Linked DNA regions of Rattus norvegicus. The protein of the gene in region 5 interacts with the protein of the main gene of each other region in a biochemical or structural test. Links are inferred from orthologs where the notes say so. Each region holds a gene or a part of one and is shown on either strand. Other genes may lie near its edges. The genes, in order: Lat, Lcp2, Shc1, Erbb3 and Zap70.

Region 1 (4,620 bases), on a different chromosome or scaffold from region 5:
TGGGATGGTTGGGGGACCTGGTACTCCCTGGCTGGTGGCTGGTGGCATGAGCCTGGGTGGATGGGATAGTCTGGCCCAGTTTAGGCAATAGATGGCTGTGGCACATCTCCCCTTAAATCCTTTGGTGGATGGGAAGAAGCTGTAGGAAGGCTTGCCCATTAGGCTGTAGGCCTCACCCTACGGCCCAAACATTCCCCTTCCCAGCTTCTGTTCATTTTCTTGGTCAGGGCTCCACATCCCCGTGTCTCTGACTCTCCTCTCCCTGCAGATCTCTGACCGCCTCCGAAGGAGCTGGCCCCCTTCCTTCCTGTCCGAGTTCCGGGCTCTGCAGTTCTCTCTCATGCTCTGTGCTTTCGTCGGGGCCCTGGGTGGCGCGGCCTTCCTGGGCACCGCCATGTTCATTGAGAATGACCGCCGGCGGGCACAACTCCACGTGCAGGGTCAGTGAGGGCCACTGTCAGGGTCTACCTTCACAGTGCCATCTGTCTGTCTGTCCATCTGCCTGTCTGTCAGCCTCCAAGTACACGTTCCACGGTTCTCCCTCCACTCAGACTGTCCCATACATTCATGCCACCAGCTACCTGCCAGGGGCAAGAGCCCAGCTTCCCTGGCTCATCCAGCTCAGCATTGAGTCTATCAGAAAGTGGATTGGACTTTCTGCCTGTGTGCAGTTCTGAGGGCCCTCACTGCTGTTTCGTCTGTATTCCTCTGCCTGTTTGTCCTCTGTCCCCTTGCTGGCTCTTATCTTACTGGCTTTGGCTCTGATCCCTTTCTCAAAGGTCTGTTGCATGAGACCGAGCCCTCAGATGACCAGATTGTGGTACCTCAGCGAGGCCGTTCTACCCGAGTCCCTGTGTCCAGTGTGCTCATCTGAGGAGCCGTTGCTCGAGCCCAGCCATAGATGTCACAGCTGGTCCTGGGCCCACCCCAAACGGTTCCCAGGCAGAAGCCCTCACCAGGCCCAGGTCCAAGAAGGAAGCCCTGGGATAGATCCCAGCTCCCAGACACTACATGGGCAGCCCAGGGAAGAGATGGGTGTCCAGAAATGGGGGTTGTCCTCTCTACTAGGGTAGCCCAAGGGGTTTGGTGCTATTTGTAACGGATGTAAATAAAATTTGTAATCAGACTCCCGACTGACTGCTTGTCTCTCTGTGGCTGCCACTGGCTTCAGGGAAATATCTGTAGCCTCCGGATTCACCAGGGGCTGTCAGGTCACCCTGTGGGTAAGTCCCTGTCTTCTGGGCTTGGTAATCTAGAAGGAGGGCTGCTCTTTTCTGAGTGAGCTGGCTCGGTGTGACCGTGACTCACCGTGGTCCTCTGGAAGTCGCTCTCCCAGTACGTGAGCCTAGGAGCTGGGGGCAGTGGTACCCTTGGTCCACACAGGCCCTGGCAGAGCCTCCTTGCAGTTCTCCCACCTGAGGAGGCTACAGCTGGCCTGGTTGGCACGTGTCTCCTTTCCTAGTGGAGGGGTTGCCTCATTCTGCAGCCTCAGACCCTTCCTTCACACAGTCCCTTTGCCTCCTCCCCCTTCCCACAACTGGGTGGGGGTGAGTGGGCAGGGGGCAGGCTCAGCCGGCTGAGGAGCCTGATGATTTCCTGCCCTCACCACAGCTTCCTGTCGCACGCGGGTGGTGAGAAGGAGAGGCAGGCGGGGAGCAAGAAAGGCAGGTACAGCTGGGCACAGGGATCGTGCAGCTGGTGGCTGGGGCACAGGCCCCAGCGCTGGCTCCGGGACTAACACCTTTCCGGAGCCAACGCTAATCTCAACTCAGTCGAGCAAGAGAGCAGACGCAGCTGCCGGCTGCTGGATCCCAGGCTGGGGCCCGCTTGGTCCCACACCCCTCCAGGGGCTGCGGTGCAGCAGGGCCTGGGGCAGGTGCTCTGCAGATGGAAGCAGACGCCTTGAGCCCTGTGGAGCTGGGCCTCCTGCTGCTGCCCTTCGTGGTCATGCTCCTGGCTGCCCTATGCGTGCGCTGCCGTGAGTTGCCAGGTAAGTGGGGAGCTTTGGGCAAACGGGATGCTGGACACTCCATCGAATCCTCATGCCGTCCCCGGCCCTTCACCCTCCAACTGTCCCTACTTCAGTCCTGGGTGGGGGTGGGGGACCTGCGTGTCTTGTTCCAATGTACCTGATCCTGCCTCATTGGCTGTCTCTCCTCTAGCCTCCTATGACAGTGCTTCCACAGAGAGGTGAGTGGCAAACCCATGGCCCTGTGTGTCTTCCCTTTGTTCCAATCAAGGACTTGGGGCTGGGGCCCAAGGCCCAAGCCCTTGTACTCAGGCTATCTCTTTCTTGCCAGTTTGTACCCAAGGAGCATCCTCATCAAACCACCTCGTGAGTTCCGTGACCCTGGCCTTCCTCGAGGTTTCTTAAGATTGTGCCTTTGTCCTGTTCATCTTTAGCTGTCTGAAGGGTTATTACCTGGCTTGGGATAGGGGGAAGTGGGAGCCCCAATGTCTGTCTAGGGCATGGTTTTCAGGGGTACATCTGTCCTTAGAGGCCTTGATGAGGGTGGGGGGATGTCTGGCATCATCCCTTCAAGCTTTCTTTGCTCTGTGTCCTCAGAAATAACCGTCCCCCGAACACCTGCTACTTCCTACCCTCTTGTCACTTCCTTCCCACCCCTGAGGCAGCCAGACCTGCTCCCCATTCCGTGAGTATCCCCCAACTCCCTCCCTCGGATCTACTGTGCTTCCACACCTTCTAGGTTGGGGAGGCACTTTTTCCTGGTTTAACCCCTCTTGCTCCCAGAGGCCTACCCAGATGTAATCTCTGGCCTTTGGCTTCCAGGAGATCCCCACAGCCCCTCGGGGGCTCCCATCGGATGCCATCTTCCCGGCAGAATTCAGATGATGGTAAGGGTGTAGAGCACAGGAGGGCGTTGGGGAGGAAGTGCAACCTGAGCTGACTCGGTCTTCCTTTCCCTCTCTCTTTGAAGCCAACAGTGTGGCGAGCTACGAGAACCAGGGTGGGTCTGGGGTCTAGGGTAGTGGGTGGGGTGGGGAGGCTGGAGCTGTCCAGGTCATGTTGACTCCCCTTCCTCATAGAGCCAGCCCGTAAGAACGTGGATGAAGATGAGGATGAAGATGACTATCCTGAGGGCTACCTGTGAGTGGGGAGGTGGGAGGTGGCCGTGGAAGTTGGGTACCCTTTATCAACTCATTCCTTCCTTCCAGAGTGGTGCTGCCTGACAGTAGTCCTGCTGCCGTCCCTGTTGTCTCCTCTGCTCCGGTGCCCAGCAACCCTGACCTTGGAGACAGTGCCTTCTCTAGTGAGTCAGGCTTTCTGTCTACCTCCTTCCGCCATGTGCTGCCAGCCTCTCCTTCCCTCCCTCTGTCTCTGTAATGATTGCCGCTCTTCCATTTCCTCCTTCAGATGTCCAGCTTCCTGCTCTCCACCTTCCATTGTCTTGTTTTTCCTTTCACCTTTGCTCCCTCCTCTCTGTTGTCCAAGAGATTTCCTGACTCTTCTTGAACCCTTCCATTGAAATTTCATTTCTCGGCTGGATGTGGGGGTGCATGCCTATATTCCCAGCATCAGGAGGCTATGGCAGGAGGGTTGAGTTGGAGGTTAGCCTGGGCTACATAGTGATACCCTCTCTTCAGAAACCAAAACAGCACTACGATCAACAAAAAGAAAATAAAAGAATCCATTTCTCTTATCTGAAAGTCCCCCCTCAGTTCTTTTTGTATAGTACCCTGTTCTTGTTTCTTGGAAGCAATATCATCTAATGTGTCTGTAAGAACTTTGATTACAGATTGTTTCTCTCTGTGTCTCTCTCTTGTCTCTGTCTCTGTCGTTCTGCATATCTGTCTGTCTCTCACCCCCTCTCACTGAAGATGTCTTCTGCGTACCCACATGGTCTTTGTTTCTCTTGGACCGCTTTTCTCTGCTTTGGTCTTTCTCCTTCCCTGAACTTTCCTCAAGGTCTGGTGATCTTCAGTTTTCTACCCTCTTGTCTCTGCATAGCATGAGTATCCTTTACCTGAAACACTTCGATACAGATTTAGAAATATTTATAAATATATAATAAATTCTTTTGAATATGAAACTCAAGATTAAACATGAGATTAATTCACTTATGTTTTATATACACCATTATATAATATATACCAAGTCTGAAGGTAGGTTTTTGTTTTGTCTTAGTTTTATTGACATCGGGCTTCATGGTCTAGTCCTGGCTGTCCTGGAACTTGATATGTAGACCAAGTAGACTCGAACTCAAATTAAAGGTGTAGGTTACCATGCTCAGTCTTGAAAATCTTTTGCATGAAATCAAAGTTTCATGGAATTTTCCATTTGTGGTAATGCACGAGTACTTAAAGGGTTTTGGATTTGGAATATGCTGAATTTTGGAGTTTTAATTCAGAAACACCCAACCTTCTGCATTTACCCTAGACTATTTACCCTAGACTATCATGTCTGTAATCTGGCTCTGGTTTTGTTGTTGTTTGTTTTTTGTTTTTGACAGAATCTCACTGTGTAACCCTGGCTGCTGTGGAACTCACTTTGTAGACCAGTCTGGCCTTTACCTCATAGAGTTCCAATTGCCTGTGGCTTCTGAGTTCTGAGATTATAGGTGTATTTCCATTTGGTTTTTATTGATAGTCCCCCCACAC
Region 2 (4,010 bases), on a different chromosome or scaffold from region 5:
TGTGCCAGTAGTAAAACAAGATCGTGTGTGTGTGTATGTATGTGTATGTGTGTGTATAATATGTGTGTGCTTAGCACTCTATAAACGTAGCCATTATTATTGTGCATAAAATATGAGCAATACCAACCCAGTAAGGGCTCTCGGTCAAGAGGAGGAGCCAATGAGCGGTCCAGGGGAGGTTTTGTGCTTCTGTCTATTGATGGAGCAGGCACTGGAGTGGAGAAAGCTGAGGTCAGTTAAAAAAGAAAGAAAGCATCCGGCTGGGAATTGGGTGGGTGGGCTGGGGGGGGTGCAGAAAGCACCCTGTACATACGCTTTGCTGTTTTATGGTTCCGATTTCTGCTAGGTTCTTCATGGTTGGGCTGGGCCGGAGACAGTGGCAGCATGGAATTAAAAAAAATAATAATAACCCAGTCCAAATGTTTGGAAATTTTCCCACTTTTCCCTCTCCAAAGGTATCTGGATCCCTTTTCTCCATCTCCAGGTCTGTCCCGCAGCTAGCTGTCAGCTGAGTTGCTGAGGTCGTGCCCCTCTGAACTTCCTCACTCTCTCATGCTTCAGCCTTTTGCATGGCAAAGAACCAAGCAGAAACTTCCCTACCAAGCCCTCCAAGGTTCTAGTCACATCAGAAGTGAAATATGACACCACCATCACCACCACCACCACCACCTCCACCACCACCCCTACCACCCCTACCCCTATCCCCCATCCCCCCACCCCCATGAAGCCCCACAGTAGATGCCCTGCCCACCATTTGAAGCCATTTCTATGTTCCTCGCTAATGCTCCATGGTCCCCGAATAAGGATCTCCTTACAGTTCTCACAAAACCCAAAGCTCATACCTACTCGTGAACATCTCTGTGCCTATGTTTCCTCTGCCTGGGATGTTCCTTCTGCGTTCCCTATGACTGGCTCGTCCTGTGCCAGCTCGGTGTCAGCTCTGTACACTCTGTCATATTACTCGGCCCCCTGTCTTCCTAAACCACATACCCAGGTCATTTCTACATCTGTGTGCTTGTTGATAGCAACACGGTATGAAAGTCGGAACATTCTGTACTGTTCCGTGTTCTTCCCCCGGCACAGAGGACACTGGTGTGAAGTAGTAGCCCCATCAGTATCTGTTGACATGATAGGCAAAGCCTGCCTCCCAGTGGTGGAGGTGCCAGCCGTCTGATTTCAAAAGCAAAATGCCTTTCCTCCCACCACAATCTCCCCTCCTAGCTCTGTCCTGGCCCCTTGCGGAAAGAGCACATCGATGACTCCTTTAGACTGAGCTTCATGTAACCTCCATAGGAGCTGGACTATAATGCTGAATGAAAAGGGAAAGTGGGGCTCGGTGCCACTGTTTCTCTCATGGGCTTCACCGAGTTGGAAATCTTGTGGTCTGAAGGCGTTCATCCCTGGAAGTTCTTGACCTTGCCAGCAGGTGGCGCAGCGCTGCTTGCACGGGGAGGCCTACCTCGAGAGTCTAGGCAACACCGGAAGATGCCAGGCCAGACTTGGTTCTCCCACAGTTAAATAGCGGAAGTAGCACAATGATATTGGAGAAGGGGAGTATCTCATTATACACGCAGTTTATATTGTTTTTGGTGCAAAAAAACTGCCAATAAACATTATGCTATACATAGAAACTGCTTCTATGTCATCACAAAATTGAACTACTGAGCGGAACGTGAGGGTGTGCATTTTTCCTGTCATAACCGCCTCTTACAAACTTAGAATTAGGTCAAGATGCTTAGTTCCTTTTCTGTCTACCGGAAGAACGAATTGTAGTGGAAACAAAGCGGCCTGGAAGAAAGGGAAGAGGCTTACCGAGTGATTCCGGCCTGTTGGCAGGGGAGGGAGGGCGGCCATTGGTCTCTGCGGGGGCACCGGAGGCTGCTGGGAGACCTTGCCGGTGGGAGGCCGGTCTGTGGAAACACAATATTAAAAAGAAAGGAGAGCCGTTTAATACCACCGGGGAAGCAGAGGTAGGTGGATCTCTGAGTTCAAGGTTAGCCTGGCCTACAGAGCTAGTTCTAAGACAGCCAGGGCTACACAGAGAAACTTTGTCTCGAAAAACAAAAACAAACAAACAAAAACCAAGAAAGAAAGAAAAAAAACGAAAAGAGAAAAAATTAAAACGTTTGAATTAGGCTTCTTCTAGAACATGTTGTGCCTGACTATAGCTTGAGGTGTCAGGAGCCTCCTCCAGATCTCCACCGGTACCAGCATGAATTTGACATATAGTCAGACCCAGCCTGGGTCCTACAGGAGGCAGGAAGTCCTTGGCCCAGATCTGTCCCTCATCCTGCAGATTTGGTTTAAGTCTTCTTATACATTGGAATAACTCCCACAGTACCTTACACACAAACAGGTAATATCTGAGACACCTCTAGCCAAAGGAAGCCTCTAGAGAATTACCCCAGTGTTTTCAGATACAAATTCTACATGTGTGGACGAGCAAGGGTTCATGTGCATGCACACATGATCCCTGTGCATATATGTGCACATTTGCAAATATAGAGCACAAGTGTGTGTATTCAACATGCACATGCATGTACCTATGCCGTGAAACATGAGTGTATGCTGACACTTAAGCATGCACAGAGACACGTGTGTGCATGCCTGCATACATATGCTCACACTGCACAGGATTAAGTTCGCTGCCACCCTCATGAGCTCCTCACTCTGTCGCTTCCTTCCCTTCACAGGTACTCTGGGCTGCTATGTTCTCCTATTTCGTCCTTTGTCTGTCCCCTCCCTTACAGGGAGGGGCTGGCTCTCAATTCTGTTACCAAATTAAACAGCCCATGGTCTCGCCCTAGACAGACACATTATTCCGATTGCCACAGAACTTCCCAGAACCAGTTTGACAAGTTTGGGATTTCTTACCCCTTTGGGTGGGAAAGGCCAGCACCGGACAGCGAGGCAGGAGTAGCAAGTGCCTCTAGCATCCTGTACTTTTGGCCCTGGAGGCTTATCCAAGCTGCAGAAACCCCAACTAACAGACTGACTAACTGTTGGTTTGGGGAAGATTGAGGAAGGAGTCTGGAACTTCAGACTGGAAAGGCTGTTGTGGACTTGATCTACCCCTTTGTTAGCCCTATGAAGAATATCATTTCCCTTCCAGAAGGAAGGGGGTTCGGGCAAGGGGTAAGGGGAAGTCTGGTATCCATACCACAGGCTGCCTTTCAGCTCCTCGGATAGCCCATGTTCCTTGGGACCTCAGGGCCTCTGCACTGCCGTTTTATGTGCTTCAAATGTTCCTCCCCTACCCTGTTCGGCGTCATTTAACCAAACCTTCCTCATTTGCCATTCAGTATTTAATATCAGCCGAAGACTGTCGCTCAAATACCACACCCTGAAGGAGCAAACCCGTTTATTATGCTGGCCTAATGGAGTGACAGGATGCATTAGCTTAGTGTCATGCATTAGCTTAGTGTCGCCTCACCCACTCCACCAGGAGTGCTCAAGGATGAGGTCCGTCATGCTCACTCCATGTCTCTGTGACAGGCACCTAGAGATACTCACCAGCCTGGTTTCCCTTTTCTGCTCTGTCTGGAATAGCCTCAGTGATGGCTGAAGCTCCCTGCCTGTTAGCTTTCATGTTCTATCCCTCAATACACAAAGTCAGGTGGTGGGGCGCAGTCTGAAGCAGAGTACAACACAGCTCCCAGGGTGAGACACATTGACCCCTGGATGCAGAGGAAACCGAGTGTGCCTATGCTCATTTTCTGTTACCTCCTCTTCTAGAAAGTAATTCCCACCGGATAAAGGTGCATCTTCCTTCCTGGTAGATTCCAGCACATGGTGTCTGGCTCATAACAGGAGAGGAGAAGCATTCGTGACTTCATGAATGAATGAATGAGGAAGAACATGTGAGTGCAGGACGGCAGGTAAATGAGGAACATCCTAAAGTCTGTCTCATTGTAAAGGCAGAACCAATCCCTCTGAGTGCCCTCACATTTCTTATGACCTTCTGTGGATGGCGGTGCCACATAACCACCCTCTTCCCATCAAGCCTTTGT
Region 3 (4,536 bases), on a different chromosome or scaffold from region 5:
CTTTCTTCCACATGTGCGCATCTGTTGATCATTCCTGACCTTTGGATATGAAAGCTACCACAGAAAGCCATCTCCCAAGATAACAGCATGATGTGTGTTTGTGTGATTGGGAGTGTAAGGCTATGGCAGATTTTTTTTTCCTCTTGTGCCTAAGAGCTGAGGTCTTAGCAAACGGAATGACAGAATTTCTTTTAAGGAAGAGGCGTGGTGTTCAGTAACAGCTTTTCTGGGATGGGGACTAAGGACAGGTGAACGAATGAAGCATGATATTTAACCTGCTTTAAGTGCTACTACTTAGGAGACAGAGGCAGGTGATTCTCTGTAAGTTTGAGGCCAGCCTGAGCTACAAAGCAAGTTCTAGGGCAGTCAATGTAGTTACACAAACGAACCCTGTCTTGAAAAACCAGACAAACAAAAAAGTACCTTTTACTTCTTGTGTTTGGTTACTTTTTAAAAAGTGAATAAAGCTATAGTTTAATCCGGAGCTATTTTGATTGGTCACTTTCTTTAACTTCCTGAATGGCCTTCAGCAGAGCTGTGGCAGGAAACTGTGGGCAAAGAAATAGGGGTTTGGTATTATTATGCACTTATGGCCAGATTCCAGCTTCTGATATCCCTTTCTCCTTCCTGTCTTTATTAACACAGATTTGTTTATGGCCCTATTATCCCTTTGTGGCTTGTAGGCACCAGTTCTGTGTGTTTCTTTCTCCTACCTCCAAGGCCAACTCCTCTACTAGTGTGAAGTACACTGTCTGGTGGGGTGTGTAGCCTATAAGGCGTAAAAGTATATCTGTAGGTCTAAGGGGTGGCCAGATCTCTATATCCTCTGGGGGCTTTCCTCACTAGGCCTCTGGAAGAGCACCCCCACCCCCAAGTCTGTTGGTCCTTGGTGACTTGTAGAAACAGCCTTGCTCTAGCTCTTGTCTGGTAGCTCCCAGATGCACCACCCGAATTAGCCTTTATTCCTATTTCAGCTTTGTCTTTCCTCTGGGCCTCGCAGTACATCCACTGGGACTACTTCCCTTCCTGGTTCTCAACTCTGGTCCTCAGCTGTTGGGGTGGATGCTAATGGCCCAGGTTCCCTGGAGCTACCACCTCACTCACTGTATGGTGGGGGTGGGGGTGGTCTGGGCTAGGGGGTGAGGGATTCACGTCTTCAGCCGGGTCTGGAAAGGAAATGCTAAACTCTGAGGGACAACTTCCCTCCCCCCACTCCCCGCCCAGCAGCTTCTGTTTCCTTCCTATCCCTCCCAGTCTTCCCGGTCTTCCTGCTCTCTTTGGCTTGCCCAGGTCTGTTTGGATTGGTCCAGAGTTTTCCTTAACTCCTTCCTTTCTTTTTTCTCTTTTGCTTATTCTTCCTTTCTTTCTTGCCCGGCACCTCCTCCTTCCCAGACAGATCACTAGTTGTTTGTATTGGGCTGGGGAGAGTGGCCTGGCTAACACAAATTATGTGGGGAGGTGTCTCAACCCCTCTGAGCCTGTGAGTCAGCACTGTCCTGGGGATTGGTTTCTCTCCTTAGTTCCCCGCCCCTGGGGAGGAGCCAGTCAGCTCTGGGTCCAGCCTGTACTCCTCAGCCAGACGAGGTTTCCTAGCTGGGCTGGGCCAGGATGTGGTTTGAAACTGTCTAGGTCTGAGTTGGGAGAGCAGAGGTCACTTGTCCTTCGCCTCCCCAGGTCCTCTGTTATCACCCGGCTGCCGAGGTCAGACTAGGCTAAGGGTCTGGGGATGCCCCCTGCCTGGCCCCCTTGCCTGAATTGGCAGGGGGGCCGGGCCGGGCAGCAGCCCCCCTTCTCACCCCAGCCATGGATCTTCTACCCCCCAAGCCGAAGTACAACCCACTTCGGAATGAGTCTCTGTCATCGCTGGAGGAGGGGGCTTCAGGGTCTACTCCACCGGAGGAGCTGCCTTCCCCATCAGCCTCATCCCTGGGACCCATTCTGCCTCCTCTGCCGGGGGACGATAGCCCGACTACCCTGTGTTCCTTCTTTCCCCGGATGAGCAACTTGAAGCTGGCCAATCCTGCTGGGGGGCGCCTGGGACCTAAAGGGGAGCCAGGAAAAGCTGCAGAAGATGGGGAAGGGAGTGCAGGAGCAGCCCTTCGGGACTCAGGCCTCTTGCCCCTCCTCCAGGACATGAACAAGCTGAGTGGAGGCGGCGGGCGCAGGACTCGGGTAGAAGGGGGCCAGCTGGGGGGCGAGGAGTGGACCAGACACGGGAGCTTTGTCAATAAGCCCACACGAGGCTGGCTGCATCCCAACGACAAAGTCATGGGACCTGGGGTTTCCTACTTGGTTCGGGTGAGTGCATATCCCCTTTTCTACTCTCCCCATACCCCTTCCAGTTCCTCCAGATTTGTCGGGACTTCCTGCTCTTCCCCCTGGAACATCTGTGCCATTCTCTTAGTTCTTAAACCTGGTGCATTCCTTCTCCAGTTCTCTGCCCTTAATTTAGCCTGCGAATCTTCTGCCTTTCCTCCTTTGGTCCCCACTCCCCAGTTTACACAATGCTCAAGCACATCAGAGGCTTTTGGTAAAAGTTGAATGAAAATGACTTCTTGATTCTTCCCTTTAGACTCCTCCTTTTTCCAGAGATGTCACTCCATCCTACCCAATACCTGCTACTCCTCTCATAATGTCTCTGTGGTGCATGAAGTTCCTCTTTGCGGTCTTTCTTTCCTCTTTCCCCTTTCCCCTTCACAGTACACCTATGGGGTGGTAGCCCCAGGCAGTAGGAAAGCTACTTCACCTTTACTTTCCTTAGGGATAAGGCAAAGCCCTAGAACCTTCTGCAAAGGGCTGGCAAGTGTGGGGTGGGGGATGGGGACAGCTGATCCATTCTTCCCTCCTTCCCCTACAGTACATGGGTTGCGTGGAGGTCTTACAGTCAATGCGAGCCCTTGACTTCAATACCCGGACTCAGGTCACCAGGTTAGTGGGGATTGAAGTTACAGAAATCTCAGCCAGGGAGAGGAGGAAGTTGGGCATTTGGTGGTGGTGCTGATGGCGATTTCTCGTGGGTGGTCAGAGAACTGAAAGTTACAGAAGTAGTTCTGACTGGAAGGAGCCAGCTCTGGTGTGGAGCACCACCTCACCTAACTATCCAGCCTTGGAGACTGTGGGAAGATGGACTAGAAAAGGCAGCAGGGGTAGGAGGTTGCTGATGCTTTAGGGAAGGAGATGGAACATTCGGGAGCTGGGAAGAGGTGGAGCTGCAGCCATTGAGGCCCTAACCCAATCAGCCAGGAAGCGGCCCCTCAGTGTCATCAAATATTAAAGGCCCTTAATTCAATCCACCACGACAAAGAGCCTGGAGTGCTCTGGGAATCTGGCCTGGTCTTCCCTTCCCCCAGCTCTGTGGCAGCCCTAGCCAGGGGGAGGCCCATGGTGGGTCTGAGTACTCCTGTTTCTCCAGGGAGGCTATCAGTTTGGTGTGTGAAGCTGTGCCTGGTGCCAAAGGGGCGATGAGGAGGAGAAAGGTATGTGTGGTTGGTGTTGGGGCTGGGTGATTGGAGGCAGGGGAAGGCATGTGCAGGGCGTGTCGGGAGAAGGTGAGTATTTCCTTATGCTGGGAAAACTCAGATTCTGAGACTCTGGGCCCTTCCTAGCCCTGCAGCCGCCCACTCAGCTCTATCCTGGGAAGGAGTAACCTGAAGTTTGCTGGAATGCCGATCACTCTCACTGTGTCTACCAGCAGCCTTAACCTCATGGCAGCAGACTGCAAACAGGTGGGTAGGCTGCTCGAAGGAACCAGGGATAGTTAGTTATGGGAGCATCAAGTGGGGATTGGAGGCCAAAAACTTGCAGTCTTCAGGAAGAACTGGAGAGTAGAAGAGGAAGAAGTTAGGAAGGTTGAGTATAGTGATACCTTTTATCCTAGCACCCAGGAGGCCAAGGCAGAGGAATCTGAGTTCTAGTCAGGGCTACATAGTGAGACCTTGTGCCTCACCCCACCAAAAGAAGAAAGAAATTAGGAGAATGCAGGGTAAAAGGCCAAGAGAATGATCCCGGGGCTCCAAGGTTCTATGCTGGGGTGGGTTCACGTGGAGCCCTGAGGCTGCCTGACCTTTACCATTCCTTCCTTCTCCACCCTGCCCTCATCAGATCATTGCCAACCATCACATGCAATCTATCTCATTCGCGTCTGGTGGGGATCCGGTGAGTTGGGGAACAGAGAAAAGACGGGTGGGGAAGAAGAAACTAGGGGCTGAAATGATGCTGGCTAGAGGCTGGGAGTGGTGGCCACACAAGAATCCCAGCACTCAAGAGGCAGGATAGCCAGGGCCATGCAGAGTAATCCTTCTTGAAAAACCAAAAGAGGGAGGGAGAAAATACTGGCTAAAGAAGTGGTGCACAAGGATTGTGAAATATGTAAAAAGGACAGAGTTAGTGGGTCAGGAGGTAAACTCTAGCTAACTGGCCTCCTGGATCTGCCCTCCCCAGGACACAGCTGAGTACGTTGCCTATGTTGCCAAAGACCCTGTGAATCAGAGAGGTGAGGCGTGGGGGACAGCACTGGGTGGGACCAATTCTCTGAGA
Region 4 (4,750 bases), on a different chromosome or scaffold from region 5:
ACGATGTCGGACCGGAAAGCCAGAATCTTTTTTTTTAAGATTTATTTATTTATTATATATGAGTACAGTGTCAACTGTCTTCAGGCATAGCAGAAGAGGGCATCAGATCCCATTACAGATGGTTGTGAGCCAGCCTGTGGTTGCTGGGGATTGAACTCAGGACCTCTGGAAAAGCAGTCAGTGCTCTTGCTTTTAATAGTGTAACTGTTACATAGCAGGTCCAGGAAAGGCCAAGGGTGGATAGGCACACCCACGCAATAGCAAGTTTAAAGAATCGTTGCAAGAGGGCAAGGGATGGGGCACGTGGAGAGATGGTTCAGTGTTTGGGAGCACTTGTTCTTCCAAAGAACTAGGGTTTCTTACCCAGACCCACATGACAGCTCACAACAATTTGTAACTCCAGTTACCAGGGATTCAACCAACAACTTCTGGCCACCACAGATACCTAAATGTGTTTGCAGAGAAAGTCTGGTAACTTGAATTCCATCTCCCAACCCGTGTAAAAATGGAAAGAGATAATCAAGTGCCCCTAAAGTCGTCTTCCGGCTTCCGTACACATATCGTAGCAGAAACAAGTACGAACGATCATGCATACAGGAATAATAACAAATTAAAAAAAATTGTAGCAGGAGAGTGGGGACATGGCGCACTTGGGAGGTGGAAGCAGAAAGATCGACCATTCAGAGTTCAACACCAGTGTCAGTCACATAATATACTCGAGGCCAGCCTGAGCTCTATGAGCTATATGAGACCTTGTTTCAAAACCAAAAAAAAAAAATAAACAAAAGAAAAGAAAAGATTGTAGTCCATAGTCTTCGCCCAGGGGGAGGGGACAATAAATTCTCAAAATCTTGGAATGCCAATGTAAGGGTTGCGAAATGCAAGGGGTTGGGCACCAGGGGGCGCCAGTCGGACCCGTCCGGGACCCAGCAACCCTGGGTCCCGTGGGCCATGTGCGGTGACTTCTCCGCTCCCCTCCTCACTGTCGTCTCCCAGTGTGAGCGTTGCTGTGCCCTTTTGGGTCCGCGGAGGAGAGGCGGGAACCGCGGCCGCCCGGACGGCGCGGTCGGTCCCTCGGAGACAGCTGTTCTCTCGGGCGGCCGTGGGGGGCAGCAGAGGGGACGGCGACAGGTGCGGGAGCCCCTCCCCGGGCTGAAGTGGGAAGGCGGACTCCCCGGTCTGTTCCCAGGCTGGAAACCGCCCCCGCCCCCCAGGCAAATCCCCCCAGAGGCCGAGCCGGCGCCGGGTCTGCCGGAGGAAGCGGCCGGAGACAGTGCAATTTCACGCGGTCTCCGGGGCTCGGGTTCCCGAGCTGGGTACATGAGTTACGGGGCTTTGCGTCCCGGGGAAACTGAGGTGGCATGAACGCTAGGCTAAAAAACAACCTCCCACTCGAAAAAACTGAAATACTCACACTACGAAAGAAGGAAAAAAAAAATCCCTCAAGTGATCCAACCGGCTAGGGGAGTTGAGTGATTTGGTTAATGGGCGAGGCCAGCTTTCTGGGGGCTGGGCTTCGGAGCGCTCTCCTTACCCGCAGTCACTACCTTTCCCCGGCCTGGGGTCGTTTGGAATCTTGATCTCCTCTGAACCATCTCCGGAGGGAATTGCTGGAGTAAGACCCCTCCTTGACCCTCTTGGCCAGGCTGCGGGCTGGCGGAGCACCTTTGGGCGGGTGTCCCGGGCTACAACCATCAGGACTTCAGCCTCGCACGGGAGGGGGCGCGGCCGTGACTCACCCCCTTCCCCCTTCGCTCCGTCCCTCCCTCCCAGACAGACACCCTCCCCTGCCGCCCCGCTCCGGACTCTGACTCCGGCTCCAGTTGCAGTTTGCAACCTCCGCTGCGGCCGCAGCTACCTATTCGCTGGCTGTTCAGGTGGCTTTCGCTTCGATGTCCTCCTAATCTTGGGGCCCCCGGGCCAGACTCGGCAGGGCTCCCTTCACCATCCGCTGGAATCATGAGGGCGACTGGGACTCTGCAGGTGCTGTGCTTCCTTCTCAGCCTGGCCCGGGGTTCCGAGATGGGCAACTCTCAGGCAGGTAAGCCGCGCGGGAGCCCCAGAAGTCTGGAAGCTGGGAGCGTGTGACCTGAACGCTCGCAGACCCTGGGCAAGGAGTTCGGGCACTGACTCTTTGAACTGGGGAGTGTGTGTGGGGGGGGGGTGCGACACCGGGTCTGCTCGCACCACCAAGGAGGGGGCCGTGTGCCTCGGTTCTTGGAGTGGAGCTTTCTGGGGGCTGGGACTGCATTCCTGGATGCCTACCCTTCTTCCCAGGGCGTCGCTGACCCTCTAATTGGTCTTATTCTGATTTGGTTAATGAAGAACAGTAGATTCACACTTGAGAGCCTTGGGAGGAGGGCGGGCAGGGACCCTTCTGTAAACGTAAGGAGCCTTGACTTGAAGGGTCTCAGTTTGTTCTCAGGTTCCCTGGCCCCCACCCCATCCCAGGTTTCAACAACCCCCCAGTTTCGTTGTTTTGCTGACAGGGCGGGGCTATGCAAGGGTTGGAAGTTGTTGTTTTCTAATGTTGGAAAAACAAGAGTGGCACCTCCTCTTCCGTGAGTGGGGCTGTCCTGAGAAGGCTGAGATTAACCTGAGGGCCAAGTCCAGGTGACATCAGTGAGAGGTCTCACAGAGCTGGCTGCCTGCTTTCCCATAAGATAAGCCGGTCCCCCAACTTAACCAACGTCTCTTTATCAAGACCCAGGTCAATTCAGTTAACATGTTGGGCATCTATTACACACTACACTATTTCCAGGGTATTATACCCTATTCTGGGGCTGTGGGGAAAAAGACAATCAGACCTATTTCTCTCTCCAATCTGAGGTCACTTCTCCCACCTTCTGAACATTCTATTCTGTGAACTGGCTCCCAGACCCAACTTGTGCCCTCCCCCCATTCGGTGCCATATGAGCCCTTTCCTACGGGTGTCTCTGGGACTACAGACACCTGAAGAACACCGGAGTTGGTATAATTAGAGTCCTGTTGATCTTGCTCCCCCCACCCCACCCCAAGATCTCTGCTTGGGGGTTGGCACAGTCAGTGCCCCTTCCGCAGAGTGGGAGTGGGAGAAACCACCTGTGCTTCCCCCACAGTTGCTGGGCCTAAATTTAGCCCCTGGGATCTTGAGATGTGAACACTCCCAGCTGGTGGAGGGGGTGGTCTGGGACTGGGGGGAGGGCCAGGGGAGTGACTGGAACACAGTTCCATCTGACTGCCCCCACCAACCAGAACCCAAGAGTCCGGGACTCCCACCACCCTCCTCAAGAGGCAGGGAGCAGGCATGCTTGCTTGTCTACCCTTTATCTTCCTCCTGAGCCTCTGGGCATCCGGCCCTGTCTCAAGCCTTGTATAGCCCCTTTGTCCCCTTGTGTATGTGGCAATAGAGGGGAGGCATCTGAGGGGCTGGAGGCTCTTGGTCTGTGCAGTCAATACTCTCTACAGAGAAAGGCTCCGACTTTGATCCTTTGCTCCTCTGTGAGCGTTGTCCACCCTACCCCCACCCGGTATTTTTCACTGCTTCCTTGCCGTGATCCCCAGGTTGCTTGGTCCCTCCTGGGTGGTTGTTTATGCTCCCGTCCTGTCCGCCTGCGCCCTTTGCCCCTGTTTGTGGGATCTGGACTTTACCCTCAGGGTGGCAGGTAACTGAGCCCTGTAGGGCTTTGCAAAGCACAAGACACAAAGTGTGCAAGGCATTGTGGGCAGGCAGGATGGACTGGCCCCTTGTAATGCTTCTGAGTATGGGTTCCAGGGCAAACACTATCTATTTCTGTGCCAGGGTAACTGTGTACATGTTTGTGTGTCAGTCGTACATGTGTGACACTACGCACGCACGCACAGGTACACATCACTTCCCTGTGCAGATATCCTAGCTCCTCCCCTATCTGAGAAGGGTTGGCACCTTAACTTGGAAGAGGGGTGTCCTGCCAGGAAGGGGACAGGGGTGGGGCTGTTCCAGAAATGACTAACCTTCCTAGTCTTTTATTTCAGCCCAAGGACCCTGGAGTTCCCAGGTTCCTCTGGGAGCTTCTAGCTTCTTGCTGGAACTGGCCCACTCTTTCCATCATGGAGAGAGGATAGGGAAGATGATCTAGAAGGGGTCAAACTAGACATGTACCTAACAAGAGAAACTGGGCTTTCTGACTCTCTCTCTCTCTCTCTCTCTCTCTCTCTCTCTCTCTCTCTCTCTCTCTCTCTCTCCCTGCCCCGCCTCAGGGAAGGGTGGTTAGAACAGGTGGTGTACCCCTTACCCCCACCCTCCTCTCCATGTGCTTTTACTGCACCACAGGAAAGAGCTCCAGGGAAGACAGTGAAAGCCCAAGAACTGAAATGGCCTCTCCTCTGGGCTCTCTCCTGGAGTGCCTACTGGGGAACACTGCCATGTTAGCAGTCTCTTTAAAGAATCCTTCTGACGATGAAATTGGCTTTGGAGTGGAGGCTTTGTTCTGTCTCTCTCTGGGCTTCTCTGTTTGGTGAAAAGCACTCAGGGCTGCACAGTGGTGCCCAGGGAGCTGGAGCATGTTGGCTTAGGGGAGGGAATGAGAAGGGAGACCGGAGTTTGGGGAGGGGGAGGCCGCCAGTTCCTTATCGTCCAGCTTTAAAGACAAAGCTCCCATTGACCCCCCCACCCCACTACCAGGGCTTGTCCCTCCAGTGAGGTCACTTTTCTAAGCCCAAAGCTCCGGGGTAGAGGGGAGTGCTGCTAAGGATGGGGTGTCTGAGGCAGGATGGGGCAGCCCCCTCCTCC
Region 5 (4,453 bases):
CCAGAAGCCTTCTCCTGAATGGGGAGGGGCTTTGGGAAGGTGATCATGGTAGATGCCCTGTGAGGAGGAACTGAAGAGGAGACCCTGAATGGGGTACCCAGAAGCCAATGGTCGTGTGAGAGAGACTCTTTTGGGGAGGGTGTCTGCGCTTAGGAACACCTTCCAGGGCATCTGCCTAAGCATCAAGAAGGTGGCAGGGGGGAGGGAGCCCCAGAGGACTTGGGGCACTGGAGTGGGTACTGCACATTTCTGCTGTGGTCTAGATATGGGAAATGGCCAGGATGGGAGTCCTGTGTGGGGCTAGACTAGAGTGTGTGAATGTCGGGGGACCCCTGTCTTCATGCCCCAACGCTAGAGCCAATTCTTCCCAGAGCCCCTCCAAAACAGCCCTGCCATCTTGGCTTTTTCTAGGTGAACACCAGACTAGCTCTGAAGTCCCAGTGGACTCACCCCTCCCCAACCCCAGCTTTAGGGCTTTAGCCTGCCTTTAGGGTTCCAGCAGAGGCCTGCTTCAGTATGCTTCCAAGAAATTGGGCACTGTGCTGGCTAGATTCATATCAACCTGGACACATATTATGGTTATCTGAGAGGAAAGCTCAATTGAGAAAATGCTTCTATGAGATTGCAGCGTGGGCCAGTCTGATGGTGGGTGGCCATCCCTAGGCTGGGTGTCCTGGGTTCTAGAAGAAAGCAGGCTGAGCAAACCATGGGAAGCAGTCCAGTAAGCAGCATACCTCCCTGGCCTCTGCATCAGCTCCTGCCCCCAGGTTCCTGCCCTGTTTTCCTGCCCTGACTTCATTTGTTGATTAGTTGTGGTAGTGTAAGCCAAATAAACCCTTTCCTCCTTAACTTGCTTTGGACACAGTGTTTAATCATGGCAACAGTAACCCCAACCAGGACAGGAACATTCTAGGGACCCCTCCTTTCCAGAACTTGTCCTCCCAACACTCTGGGTCTTCCCTGCCCCATTCTCAGATGGGGGCTTACTGTGGGCAGCAGGCTTTGCCCAGGATCCCTGACTGCTACAATCCCCGCCTTCCTTTTGTGTTCCCAACCCCTTGCGACTGATGCTGCATGACCCCGGAAATGTGCTGTACCCCGCCAGGAGAATGTGGCCTGTGATTTTCCTTCCACACAGCATTTTGTTGCTTTGACGTCAACTTCAAACACAGCTCTCTTTCCTGTCTTCGCATCAAGGAAATAGGTTGAGCAGCAGAGAAAAGTGTTGGTGAGAAAAAGTGCACCAGGGACAGCAGGCCTTGCGGCTAGGCCCTGCCGTGCTCTGTGAGCTGTGGTAGCGTCGAGGGTGTCCAGGTGAGTGGCCGCCCTTTGGTTTTTGGGGACTGGAGCCCCAGGTGGAGGGAGTGTGAGTGGATGTCAGTCCCTTAGTCTTATCTCTGTGTGACGAGGGTGGGGCCCACAGGGACCTGAGGCTGGGCTTGTGTAGGCCCAAGTGGTGGGGACTGGAGAGACTTCAAGTGGCCTCCTGACTTTGACCACATATCACCTGCTAAGGCAGCCCAGATGGAACCATCCTGAAGGTAGCCTGCCTCCTGGACTGGCCTAGGACAGAGTGATGGCTTTAACTCAGGAGGATTTAAGGGACTGAACTGGGTGGTGTCTGGCTGAAGGTGGAGCGAGTAGGTGCCCCTGGGGAAACAGGTCACTCAAGGGGTGCCGGCAGGCTGGCACAATAGGCCTCTGAGCCTGGACAACAAAATGCCAGTGGCTCTTGTTCCACTCATGGACAGGTCATATTGAAGGCTGGGGCAAAAGAACCAGTCACTAAATTTCCGCTCAGTAGCTGTGTATCCATAGGACGTTTCTTGGCCTCTCTGAGCCTGGGTTTGCGTGCCTGTAACCCAAGCAGACACAGATCTGGCTGCCTGTTAAGTGCCTGCCTTGTTTGTTGGCTAAGAGGCTGGAGGAATATCTCAGACAGCAGGGTCCGTATGGTGAACAGCCACATTCCTTGCTCCTGTCTTAGCTAGGACATCAGGCACACGGTAGGTGCTTACTGGGGCCTTGCTGAAAGATGGGGGTCATCAAGTCCTAGGTTGGAAGATGTAAGGTGCCACCTGCTGAGGTTCCTCTGACAAACCCAAAGTTTCTTTTCACTTCCCACCTGACCTTCAGTCTCACCTGTGCGACCCCAGCAGGTACCCTGGTGGGCCAGCAGCCTGGATGGTATTGACGCTTATACTTTTAGGGCCAGGGGCCTGGGTCCATCTAGATCTGCCTGCTACTTATTGCTGTGTGACCTTGGGCAAGTCACCTCACCTCTCTGTGCTTTCACAGTTTCTGTATCTGACACATCATTCCCAGAGTCCTTGTGGGGCTTGAGGAACCTCACCTGTGTTCAGGGACATAGTAGGTGCTGTATAACTAATTGGTTGTTAGGCTAATTGTTATCATTAGCTCTTGAGGGTCTCAGGCCCTGACCACAGATTCCGGAAACTTCTATGGGGCTGTAGCATCTGGACCACCCCATGCACACCACCCCTGCTCAGGCCCAAGGATCAAGGGAGGGAGTCATGCTGATCTAGGGTCAGCTGATGTCACCTGTCCCCAGAGGATGCCAGTGTCTGGAGATATTTTTGGTATGAACTTGGGCAATGCAGGCATGCAATGGGTAGATGCCAAGAATGTCATCAAACACCCCTCCCTACCGTCCAGCCCCTCCCTCACCAGTTCCTCAACTCTATAGGACCCTGTCCTGGGTCACCCCGATTCTTGATTTTTCCTACCTTTCTTTTACCGTGGCTTGAGATCCGGAGGGCAGAAGCTGCCTTGCTTAAAGGGTCATGCAGTTCCCAGCATCCAGTGAGTGGAGGCTGGGCTGTGGCTCTAACCTTACTACAGGGCTGGAGGGACATTGTCACATCAGTTAACAGATGCTCAGCGAGCTGGATTTTTTTTTTTTTTTTTTTTTGGTTCTTTTTTTTGGAGCTGGGGACCGAACCCAGGGCCTTGCGCTTCTTAGGCAAGCGCTCTACCGCTGAGCTAAATCCCCAACCCCGCGAGCTGGATTTGAGACCGTCTCTGGCCCCAGCAGCTGGGCACTCAAGGCCTTGCCAAGTAATTCAATGGCAACATTGGGGTCTGTGGGGACATGGAGTCCCCAGGGACTCGGCTCAGAGCTCTGCATTCCGCTCTGCATGGTATTAGTTGGAAACATCAGTGTGGGTTTCTGTTGGGCCTGTGTAACTGTGGGTCAGGTTGGGAGCCTGACACCAGCTTCTCTGAGCCTCAGTTTCCCCAGCTGAGGAATGGGAGTAACAGTTCCCAGGCGGCAATGGTGCTGAGGAACAGGTTAAGCGGAGTAGATCCTAAAGGATGCCCCATGGCCTTGTAATGAAGCTGGCCTCGTTCTCTGTGTGGGAGGGAGCAAGGGCTATGATGGAAAGGGGGCTGCTGTGGGGTGGGCCTGGAGGAGCCAGGCTCAGAGAAGTCATAGAAAGAGTGACAGACAGTGACCATTAAGGCTGGGAGGTGGGAGGTGGGGGCTGTGGAAGGCTCCCCCTCCTAGGTACCTGGTGCATCCTGGGAAGGATGGTGGAAACGTTCTGGCAGAGAGGGGCAGCTGGAATCCTGGAGCATAAAGTCAGGACAAGGGCATGGCTGGCTTAGGCTCCTGAGCCGGTCTTCTCAGCCCTGTGTGCTAGAGGGTGAAGCCCCCAGGCTGCCTACTCTCAGCCCTTCCTGTGACCCTCATTCTTGCCTGTCTCTTGAAGGGGTGTCCCTGTTCATCACGGGCAATTGTAGATCTTCTTGGCTCTCAGATGTTTAGCAACAGTGTAAACGCAGCATGCAAGGGACCAAGATGTCAACATATTGATACATGTGTATCATATTTAGTGGTAAAGCCCAGAAAGATGGGCTTGGAGTGGAAAACCATGGAGAGGCTGTGCTAGAGGGAGGTCAGGGTACAGACACTATTGGAGTGGAGGAAGGGGTTATATAAGCAGTGCCGAGACCCTGAACTTGGACATCGTAATTGTTGCATCCCAAACCCAGGGGCTTGAGCAAGTAGACTGAGCAGGCCCCTGTGGCTGGAGGGCAGGCAGAGTGGATTGTTAGCACAGGAAGGAAGCAGGCAGCAGCTCAGCAGCTCTGAACATCGTTCTCGGCCCTGTCTCAGAGCAGTGGTGAGCCCAGCTTTCAGGTCAGGTCCACGCCACCATTCTCTAGGAGATCTGAGACCCTGGGATGCAAATCTCTCCTGGAAAACCAGGGAGGAGCCTGTTGCCTTCTATGGCATGCTTAGTACAGGTAACTGCGGTCACTGGTGCATATCGTATGATCAAGACGGGTTATCGTATAATGGAGATGGGACTCTGCTGAGTGACAAATCCCAGTTCTGTGTCTGTCGTGAGGAGCTCGTTGCGGCCTAGGAATAAGCAATCGTGGCTTCAGAGGGACTCTGGGTGAAGGCTATGGGGCCTAAGGGGGA

Evidence for each region.
Region 1: of the proteins of Zap70 (region 5) and Lat, one has a biochemical effect on the other in vitro, tested with the Homo sapiens proteins (2 studies listed by BioGRID). The link is inferred for Rattus norvegicus from reciprocal best matches to the Homo sapiens genes ZAP70 and LAT.
Region 2: of the proteins of Zap70 (region 5) and Lcp2, one has a biochemical effect on the other in vitro, tested with the Homo sapiens proteins (2 studies listed by BioGRID). The link is inferred for Rattus norvegicus from reciprocal best matches to the Homo sapiens genes ZAP70 and LCP2.
Region 3: of the proteins of Zap70 (region 5) and Shc1, one has a biochemical effect on the other in vitro, tested with the Homo sapiens proteins (2 studies listed by BioGRID, with this or other methods). The link is inferred for Rattus norvegicus from reciprocal best matches to the Homo sapiens genes ZAP70 and SHC1.
Region 4: the proteins of Zap70 (region 5) and Erbb3 form a complex in vitro, tested with the Homo sapiens proteins (2 studies listed by BioGRID and IntAct, with this or other methods). The link is inferred for Rattus norvegicus from reciprocal best matches to the Homo sapiens genes ZAP70 and ERBB3.

The regions. Positions count from the first base shown.
Region 1 is NC_086019.1:190,369,169-190,373,788, reverse strand, and holds the start of Lat (linker for activation of T-cells family member 1), read left to right. Parts: upstream 1-1,652; 5' UTR 1,653-1,887; coding exon 1,888-1,990; intron 1,991-2,162; coding exon 2,163-2,190; intron 2,191-2,300; coding exon 2,301-2,335; intron 2,336-2,566; coding exon 2,567-2,654; intron 2,655-2,791; coding exon 2,792-2,856; intron 2,857-2,939; coding exon 2,940-2,969; intron 2,970-3,048; coding exon 3,049-3,109; intron 3,110-3,177; coding exon 3,178-3,272; intron 3,273-4,620. Other genes in the region: Spns1 (protein spinster homolog 1), read left to right, coding at 269-440, 780-874. UniProt on the Homo sapiens protein: Required for TCR (T-cell antigen receptor)- and pre-TCR-mediated signaling, both in mature T-cells and during their development.
Region 2 is NC_086028.1:19,170,690-19,174,699, reverse strand, and holds part of Lcp2 (lymphocyte cytosolic protein 2), read right to left. Parts: exon of another isoform or gene 3,736-4,010; intron 1,971-3,735; exon of another isoform or gene 1,911-1,970; coding exon 1,813-1,910; exon of another isoform or gene 649-1,812; intron 363-648; coding exon 314-362; intron 212-313; coding exon 128-211; intron 1-127. UniProt on the Homo sapiens protein: Adapter protein primarily involved in signaling pathways within T-cells, as well as other immune cells such as platelets, mast cells, and natural killer (NK) cells.
Region 3 is NC_086020.1:177,136,953-177,141,488, forward strand, and holds the start of Shc1 (SHC-transforming protein 1), read left to right. Parts: upstream 1-1,595; 5' UTR 1,596-1,803; coding exon 1,804-2,298; intron 2,299-2,857; coding exon 2,858-2,928; intron 2,929-3,412; coding exon 3,413-3,476; intron 3,477-3,605; coding exon 3,606-3,725; intron 3,726-4,101; coding exon 4,102-4,155; intron 4,156-4,440; coding exon 4,441-4,492; intron 4,493-4,536. UniProt on the Homo sapiens protein: Signaling adapter that couples activated growth factor receptors to signaling pathways. Participates in a signaling cascade initiated by activated KIT and KITLG/SCF.
Region 4 is NC_086025.1:1,597,123-1,601,872, reverse strand, and holds the start of Erbb3 (receptor tyrosine-protein kinase erbB-3), read left to right. Parts: upstream 1-1,493; 5' UTR 1,494-1,615; intron 1,616-1,773; 5' UTR 1,774-1,959; coding exon 1,960-2,041; intron 2,042-4,200; exon of another isoform or gene 4,201-4,750. UniProt on the Homo sapiens protein: Tyrosine-protein kinase that plays an essential role as cell surface receptor for neuregulins.
Region 5 is NC_086027.1:46,484,390-46,488,842, forward strand, and holds the start of Zap70 (tyrosine-protein kinase ZAP-70), read left to right. Parts: upstream 1-1,215; 5' UTR 1,216-1,314; intron 1,315-3,926; exon of another isoform or gene 3,927-4,209; coding exon of another isoform or gene 4,210-4,272; intron 4,273-4,453. UniProt on the Homo sapiens protein: Tyrosine kinase that plays an essential role in regulation of the adaptive immune response. Regulates motility, adhesion and cytokine expression of mature T-cells, as well as thymocyte development.